Rattus norvegicus: one gene and its partner. The protein of the gene in region 1 purifies or fractionates together with the protein of each later gene. This does not show direct contact. Links are inferred from orthologs where the notes say so. Each region holds a gene or a part of one and is shown in the gene's direction. Other genes may lie near its edges.

What was found.
Region 2: the proteins of Igf1r (region 1) and Arrb1 purify together in Homo sapiens (affinity purification with western blotting; 3 studies listed by BioGRID and IntAct, with this or other methods). This does not show direct contact. The link is inferred for Rattus norvegicus from reciprocal best matches to the Homo sapiens genes IGF1R and ARRB1.

What each region holds. Positions count from the first base shown.
Region 1 is NC_086019.1:131,193,993-131,197,504, forward strand, and holds part of Igf1r (insulin-like growth factor 1 receptor isoform 1 precursor), read left to right. Parts: coding exon 1-203; intron 204-2,044; coding exon 2,045-2,171; intron 2,172-3,512. UniProt on the Homo sapiens protein: Receptor tyrosine kinase which mediates actions of insulin-like growth factor 1 (IGF1). Binds IGF1 with high affinity and IGF2 and insulin (INS) with a lower affinity. The activated IGF1R is involved in cell growth and survival control.
Region 2 is NC_086019.1:163,248,803-163,253,021, forward strand, and holds the start of Arrb1 (beta-arrestin-1), read left to right. Parts: upstream 1-1,413; 5' UTR 1,414-1,445; coding exon 1,446-1,465; intron 1,466-4,219. UniProt on the Homo sapiens protein: Functions in regulating agonist-mediated G-protein coupled receptor (GPCR) signaling by mediating both receptor desensitization and resensitization processes.

The sequences.
Region 1 (3,512 bases):
CTATGTCCTGGACAACCAGAACTTGCAGCAGCTGTGGGACTGGAACCACCGGAACCTGACCGTCAGGTCAGGGAAAATGTACTTCGCTTTCAATCCCAAGCTGTGTGTCTCTGAAATTTACCGGATGGAGGAGGTGACAGGAACAAAGGGACGGCAGAGCAAAGGAGACATAAACACCAGGAACAACGGAGAGCGAGCTTCCTGTGAGTGACAGCGTTAAATCACTGTGGCTGCCACAGTCAAGATGGCAGCCATTCATGGGCGGGCTCTCTTTCACTTTGGACTGTCAAAGCACTGCAGCTGGTACCTGGCCTCTGCGTGTGTCTGCACAGTTTGTGGGTGGGTGCCTGATATATCCGTATTGATACATTTTTCCAGAGGATCTGTTTGAGTATATTAAACATTCAAGCAGGTTCTTAGAGCGTGCACAGTGAAATATCTTGTCAATATGAGCAGACAATATTTATTAAAGAGCTAGTCTGTTCCAGCCCCATGAACAAGCCAGCTCTGTCCTGCATCCCCAGAACAAAGTGAGCCCAAGTCCTTGAATCCAGAATGCTTTTCACATTTTAGACAATGTAATAATACCATCTAGGTAATACAGTTTTCACCCTAATATCTCATAGACGAGAGTTCAACCTGTTAGCACAGCCCTCTCCAAATGTGGCCCCAGACGTGGAATGTCTTTCTCTAGCCTTGTATGGAGCCAGGTACACTCCTATAATCTCAGCACTTAACAGGCTGAGGCAGGAGGATTGCGAGTTTGAAGCCAGTTTGGGCTACATCAAAAGACCCTGTTTTAAGGAAGCAAACAAATGCTAAAGCTCTATATGGCCCTCCGTCTTTATGGCACTAGTGGGGAAAATAAGGAGTCATGTGACCAACATCTAGTCAGATGTACGCATATATACGGAGGGAGGGCTAGCCTTGTCTTCTGAGTATCCAGATTTATCTGATACCCTCATGATCCAGGAGGCATTTTGAGAAGAGTAGTTAGGCAGAGGTGTGAATGTGCACCCTCACCAGCACCCTCACCTTCCTGCAGAGTCCCCTGGCCTGTTCCCCATTAAGACCATAGCAAAAGCCTGCAATTGAAACATTTCGAAGTTTTTCTCCCTTAGAGGCAGCTAGGGACCTGCCAGGTCATGAATGCACCAGCCATTTATTTTCCTTTGGAAGCACAGTCAGGGTTCTCTCTCTGGGTGACACTTGAGCAGGACCTGCCATGCTCTGGGGGTCTCTGTTAAGCACATTTTGCTGACTTCTCAGGGTTTTGGTGTTCTCTGTCTCTTGCCTTCAGCTCATTGGTGAGAGCAGTTCGGGCAGTTTTGGGGTTGAACACAACTTGATGGGATATTGACAGTCATTTCTCCCACCTTACCAGCTAGAATGCAGTGCTAAAATCAGGACAGTCCCCACACCTCACCATACCTCACAGCCAGGGTGTACGTGCCAGAGAGCACACGGCCTGCCCAGGTCAGTGCCCACCCAGTCTCATTCCTGCTAGAAGACTCCAAGGAGGTCCTGTATCCTTCTAGCTTGGCACCCCGTTCTAGCTAAGAGAAGCTCTGTTTTGTGGCTTACTCGCGGTCTTACACATGCCTTGTGTAAGGCATACTCTGTGGTCGCTGCACAGAAGCCAGCAGATGCCTATACCTACAGGACTCGCTGTTCTCTCAGTACAGCCTACAGGTTTGCAGTCATTTAACCAGGTCCCCTTTACCCTCCAGCATCCTATGAATGATCTGAAAGGCAAGGCCACCTTGTTCGTAAAGAGGCCCTTCTCACGGGGTGAGAGACAGTTACAGGTTCACGCCCCATCCCCTGGGCAGGTGACCAGTGGGACAAACTGACCTGGAGTGAAAGATGAACCTGTAGGTTCTATCCCCTGTGAAATGTTTGGACTCCTGGTGGAAAAATCAGAATGCTACCTACAAAATCCAGACAGAGCTTAGTACGGACAGCCAGCCTCGGGAAAGATAGAAGTGTTAGTGCACAGACAGGTGGGTCTCTGTCACTCACGGATGCACCTCTCTGCCCCCAGGTGAAAGTGATGTTCTCCGTTTCACCTCCACCACCACCTGGAAGAACCGCATCATCATAACGTGGCACCGGTACCGGCCGCCGGACTACCGGGATCTCATCAGTTTCACAGTCTACTACAAGGAGGCGTGAGTTTGGGCCTGTCACTCAGACATCAAGCTAGAGGGTGGGGATGGCCAGGTGGTTGTATGCCTTGGCTGAGTAGAGAATCTTTGGGGTTCCTGTGAAGAATCAGGCCAGGTGACCACCTCATCCTCACGTGTCCTCTTGTCACGTTAAACTGTCCCAACCTGAGACAGCTAGTCAGGAGAGTTTACACTTCAGCCTTTCCATTGTTTAGATGGTATTTGAGTAGGTTCACCTCAAGGGGAAAAAGGATGAATTTTAAGAGAACTGGATCCATCCAAACTATCATAAGCCATATGTGGACTTGGTTAAAATATTGTTTTAGCCTCTGTCCCCAAAATGCCCCATGGGATATACTGTTCTCACCGAGGTTACCCTGAACTGACCCATTGTCTTCCAGTCACTTTATGCATATGTGGTCTTGCCAAGACTTTGCTCTGGGTCATGAGCCCTTTAGAATTAAAGAGGAACAGAGAGGGGCTAGCCTAGCTGTCAGCATTTCCCAGGATCTTCTAAGAGTTTCCCTGTACTGATAGGAACACCTTGCCTGCTCAGCATTAGAGCTCTCTGAGCGATCTCATTCTCCCACTAGGCCTCCTGTGGCCGGGTGGTTTCCCGTCTATGTGGTCATCCGTTTTCCCAGGTGCTCATCTTCCCAGAAGCAAAGGTGCTAGTGGCAGTGCCTGGCGCCTTCGCTGCTGCTGGACCTGGGGTCCTGGGAACTGTTATAGCCCATGGGAAATAGAAAGCTCACAATCTCTCAGCATTTGCGTAAGTGGAAGGCACCCATCTCCCATCGTGATTGAACACAGGTCATGTCAGTACAATTTCAGAAGCCAGTGGCTAGCGGCCCTTCCATCTCGTGAAGGTAGAGACCCTGCCCACAGTGCCTCTGTGGAGAACCCTCCCTTCCCTTCAGAAGTGCTGCCAGCATGCTGCAGTGTTAACTGATGGTATCACTGTGCCACTTTCTGAGACAATCAGGAAGCAAAATATTTGAATATTATGAGATAGCTATTAGAAGCATCAAAAAATAGCTATTATCAACTTACATTGTAGAACTCTGGGGGCGGAGGGGGTAGGAAAGTTAGTTTTGTTCGAAAGTTATCTCTTATCAGTTTAATATTTGCATTAAACAGCCATGCTTGAGAGGGACATCGGCATCTGCGTGTCTTAGGAGCAGCGTTTCCGTCCCTGTGAATACGGAACTTGCCGTCTCTAAGGCTGCTAGTTCGGTTCTGTGGTTCATAGCTGCCGAGCTCCTGGGTCCAGATGCTTGACTTTATTCTTGTATAGAAATCTAATTGACGATGAGTTTTATTCGGAATTCCCGTTATAGAAAG
Region 2 (4,219 bases), about 32 Mb from region 1:
GTTATCCTGGGATATTATTACCAACTCTATAAACAGCACACTCTATGTAAACAGCATAGGTAACTCTTCTGAACATAATTACAGGAGATGTTTCCAGACCCGCAATTGCATCAGAGTAAATGATAGCTTCCTTTCCTATCGTTAATACTCCGATATTAGGGACCTATCAGTGCCAATTAGTCAAACCCCAGCAGCAAGCGGCTGAGAAAGACCTTACATTCTCCCACTTCCTGCAAAGCAAGAAGGAACCCCTTAAGATCCCTTCCAGGAGAAAATGGATTAAAATCCAGAACCCTTTCCTACCCCTCCTTAGCCTCTGGACTCCACCCTCCCACTGCACACCTGCTACTTCCACAGGGGTAGGAAACTTGGGGAAAGTCAAGATTTCAAGGATAGCAAGAAAGCTGCAGACAGTAAGCTCTGCTGGACACCACTGTGTGCAGGTGCCTGCCGGCAAGAACAAGTGAATTCCTTCACCTATAGAACAGGGCATCTGCTGGTCTTAGGACCCAGCCAGTAGATCTGGAATGGGCTGAGATGGCTGATGTCTAGAGTCATTGCAGGCAAGTAAACTAGGCCTGGGTGCTAGCAATGATGCTGGATGCTCCGGTCACCAGCTAGTTGGCTCTTGGTCCCTGCTTTATCTTCTGTTCTCACAGCTTCCTCTTTCTGCCTGCCCCTCCCCTCCTCTTTCCACTCTCATCTGCTCTCCAGCATTGCAGTCCGCTGCCCGCCCCCACCCCTTCTTCCTGTCCCCGCTGTGCCGTTGGGTGGTATCTCTCCAGAAGGGCGGGGGCGGGGAGGGTGGAGCAAAGGGCGAAGGCCTGGCTAGGCTTTTGGAATCTTTTGCTGTGTTCACACACAGGGGCGCCGCTGAGGCTGGGCCTTGGAGTCTGCGGATTTTCCGCTTGCATCTATCCGCAGACACAAAGGCCAGTCCTGGCTTGCGCGGGAGAGCGCGCTTGCACCCACGATTGTGAGCACACACGCACAACTGCACAAAGACGTGCTATCTCTGCACACACACACACACACACACATACACACACACACAATCTCTCTCTCTACCCCTCCCCCCTTCTCCCGACAGGCTCGCGCGCACAGCCGTGCACACGCACCAGCACTGGCACGCGCTTGCGTGCACGCACTCTCGTGGACCAGCCGCGGCCGGCCACCCAGCCCTCACTCTCTGGGCGCGCACACGCAGAGCGGCGCACGGAGCCACACACGCGCGCTCACACCCGCACGCTCCACGCCCCTGGCGGCGGCCGGGGCGCTGTGCTGCTCGAGCGACGGGCGGGGACCCGGGCGGGGGCGGCGGCGGCGACAGCGGAGGAGGCGGAGCGGGGTAGCCGGGAGCGGGCTGGCCCGCGCTTCTCCTGGCGGCCGGGGATTTTCCAGCCTGGACGCTGACGCCGCGGACCTCCCTGCGGCCGCCGCGGACCATGGGCGACAAAGGGACACGGTGAGTGCGGGTGGCCGCCCTGTCCCGCGTGCGCGTGGGGACGACCTGGGCGAGGGCACGGGCGGAGGTTCCAATCAGCGTCACCCGGGATCTGGCACTCTGTTGTCCGCCCAAGTCTCTTGTGTGGTCTCTGGCCAGAACCATGTGTAAGGACGGAGGCACCCAGGATGGGCCACCCCACTTGGTTCAAGGCTCCTGGCCGAGACGAGCTCACACAACCAGCCCTGGCTGGTCGGTAGACTCGAGGACGTTCTGGGGCAGGCTGACACACGACACACACACTCATAAACACATGAACACCCTTCTGCTGGCACACACTGACAGTCGCTGCCACACTTCGCATTTGTGACACGACAACGTCACACGCGGTCTCTCACGCACACACTAGTCTGCCAACACATTCCTGCTGTCAGTACTGTTAGCATACACAGGTCCCACTGGAACACGCACCAGCTCTAACACACCTCGTGTTGCCACGCACATCTGGGCATACACCAACATACGTATCCTGTCACCTGGATGCTGCAAAGCACGGTCTGGCTAGTGCTTGCAGTCTGTCAACCCTCTCTGAAATGACACGATGCAGCCACAGGTCTTAGTGACACATCAAGGCCAATCACGCACATGCACAGCAGAAAATGCCTGCAGGGCCTGACATCTCTAGGGCAGTGGATACACTTCACTTCTGACTCCCCATGGCCAGACCAGAAACACAGGTCAGAGTGGGAGACTTTGAGACCTGGAAGGCAGGTCCCATTCACATGCTTTCCTTCCCCTCTGACCTCCAAAGCACATAGCTAGGGGCTACATCTAGCTGGGGATGGTGGTGGTGAGGGAAACTGTTTTTGTAGATCCTGCCTTGAAAGGAAAGGTTAGGCCCTCGAAATGGAAACTAGGTCAAAGTAGGAAGGCTAGGGAGGGGCAGGGAAGCTCTTGGGGTCAATCCTTATGACCTAGACCAGCCCTAGTCAACTTAGAGTTTACCTTCCTGGCCCTTGAGAGTCTCCTTGCCGCCCTTCCTGGCCCCTCCTCTAGTCTTCCTGCACCTGCTTTTTATCACTGCTTTCCTTATTACTCTTATGTTTGTGTTCTTCTCTCTGCCTTCACTTCCTTTCCTCTGATATTTATTTATTAAGCCCCTGTTGTATACTAGGCATAGCCTCGGTGATGAGAGATGATCAGAAAGGAAGCATCCCTGCAGTCACATGTTGGGGCCCTTAAACAAACTGGTTTTTTGCCCACTGACCCCAGAGCCTTTCAGCAGTGAGTGAAAGGGGCTACAGAGGTTATTCCCATTTCCCAGGAGTAGAAATTGAGGCATAGTGCTAACTCAGATTCCTCATGTTTAGAAACTACCTCCCACCAGCCTCCCTATTGATGGCCCTTCCTGGAGGTTAATTTTCCTATTCTGGTTTCCCCAAAGAGGAACTGAAGGGTGAGAAAGGTCACTTGCCTTGCTGAAGGTCAGGAAGGGGCAGAGGCCACAGCCCACTGTATCTTGTGGCTCTCCTTGGGGCCCTGGGTGTAAAGACTAGCAAGGGACTCACTTGGTGCAGAGGCACAGCTTTGGGAGACTGCGGACAGCCATGAGGTGTTTGCATTCACCTTGAGGGCCAATGCAGCTGGCTGGTCAGCATCGTGACCCAGGCTTCAGTCCTTGGAGGAAAGATGCTTGGATGCATCTCTCTTCAGCCACACCCATCCCCCTCCCCGCTTTGAGACTCTCTGGAACTGTAAGGTTGAGCTTTGCTCCCTGTGAGGCACGGCAGGGAGTCAGCAGCCACTGACTTCTCCTTTGTTCTCCAGTGCTGCTGGTGACCAGGGTGACTCAGCCATGCTGGGCCTCTCTGTAACTAGGGGAGAAGTGTCACAGATTCCTGATACCTTGAATTGTCATAGGAGGAGGACACTCTGGCTGCCAGACACCTGTTGGAGAATCCTGAGGCCACAGCTTTGTCCTTGACTCCCCTGCTGTGCTTCTAACTCAAGGGCAGACCCAGTATTCCCATCTGTACATTGGAGCCATTAGAACTTTGGTTTTCATGGCTCCCAAAAGCTTACTGAGCTCACTGGACATAGGAGTAGGAGTTGCCTATGCCAGGAAATACAGACTAGCTACACAAACTCCACCTGTCCGTGTTTGCCTCCCCTCCCTGGGCCCCTCTAGAGCCATGAATTCTGCCTTTCTCTTTCTAGATCTGTCTGGATATGAAAGGTAAGAAGCTTTCTCCATTGTGTTACATTGGCCATGAGATTTTGCTTTGAGACCTGGAAGGGACATTGCAAATACTCAATACTCTTAGGCTCTGGAGTCATCACATCTATTCCTGTCGGTTGGAGGAAGTGATAATGAACGTTAATCAAAACTGTCACTGCCCTTGCAGAAACCCCTGGGTTGAGAGGAGGCCCAGGGCAGAGCAAGCTAGCACCAACAGGGGTCCAATGAGCACAGGTCATGAAAGAGTGGCTTCTTTGTAGCCTGGGGCAGGAGTTCCCAGAGCTGAATCCCCAGACTATCCATTCCCAGGTGATGGTGGTACACGACACAATCACTTTGGGAGGTGGAAGAGGCATCCACACCAGAGCTGAGCTGGATGTGACCCGAAACTGTTCTGGGTAGTCAAAGCAGCTGAGATTGACCTAGAAGCTTGAGGAGGCTGAGCAGTGGAACTGCAACCAGTGCCCTGCCAGCCCAGGGTGCAGAATGTACAAGGACCGGGAGGTGGGAAGAGAAGCCTGGGGGTGGGGCCTGCG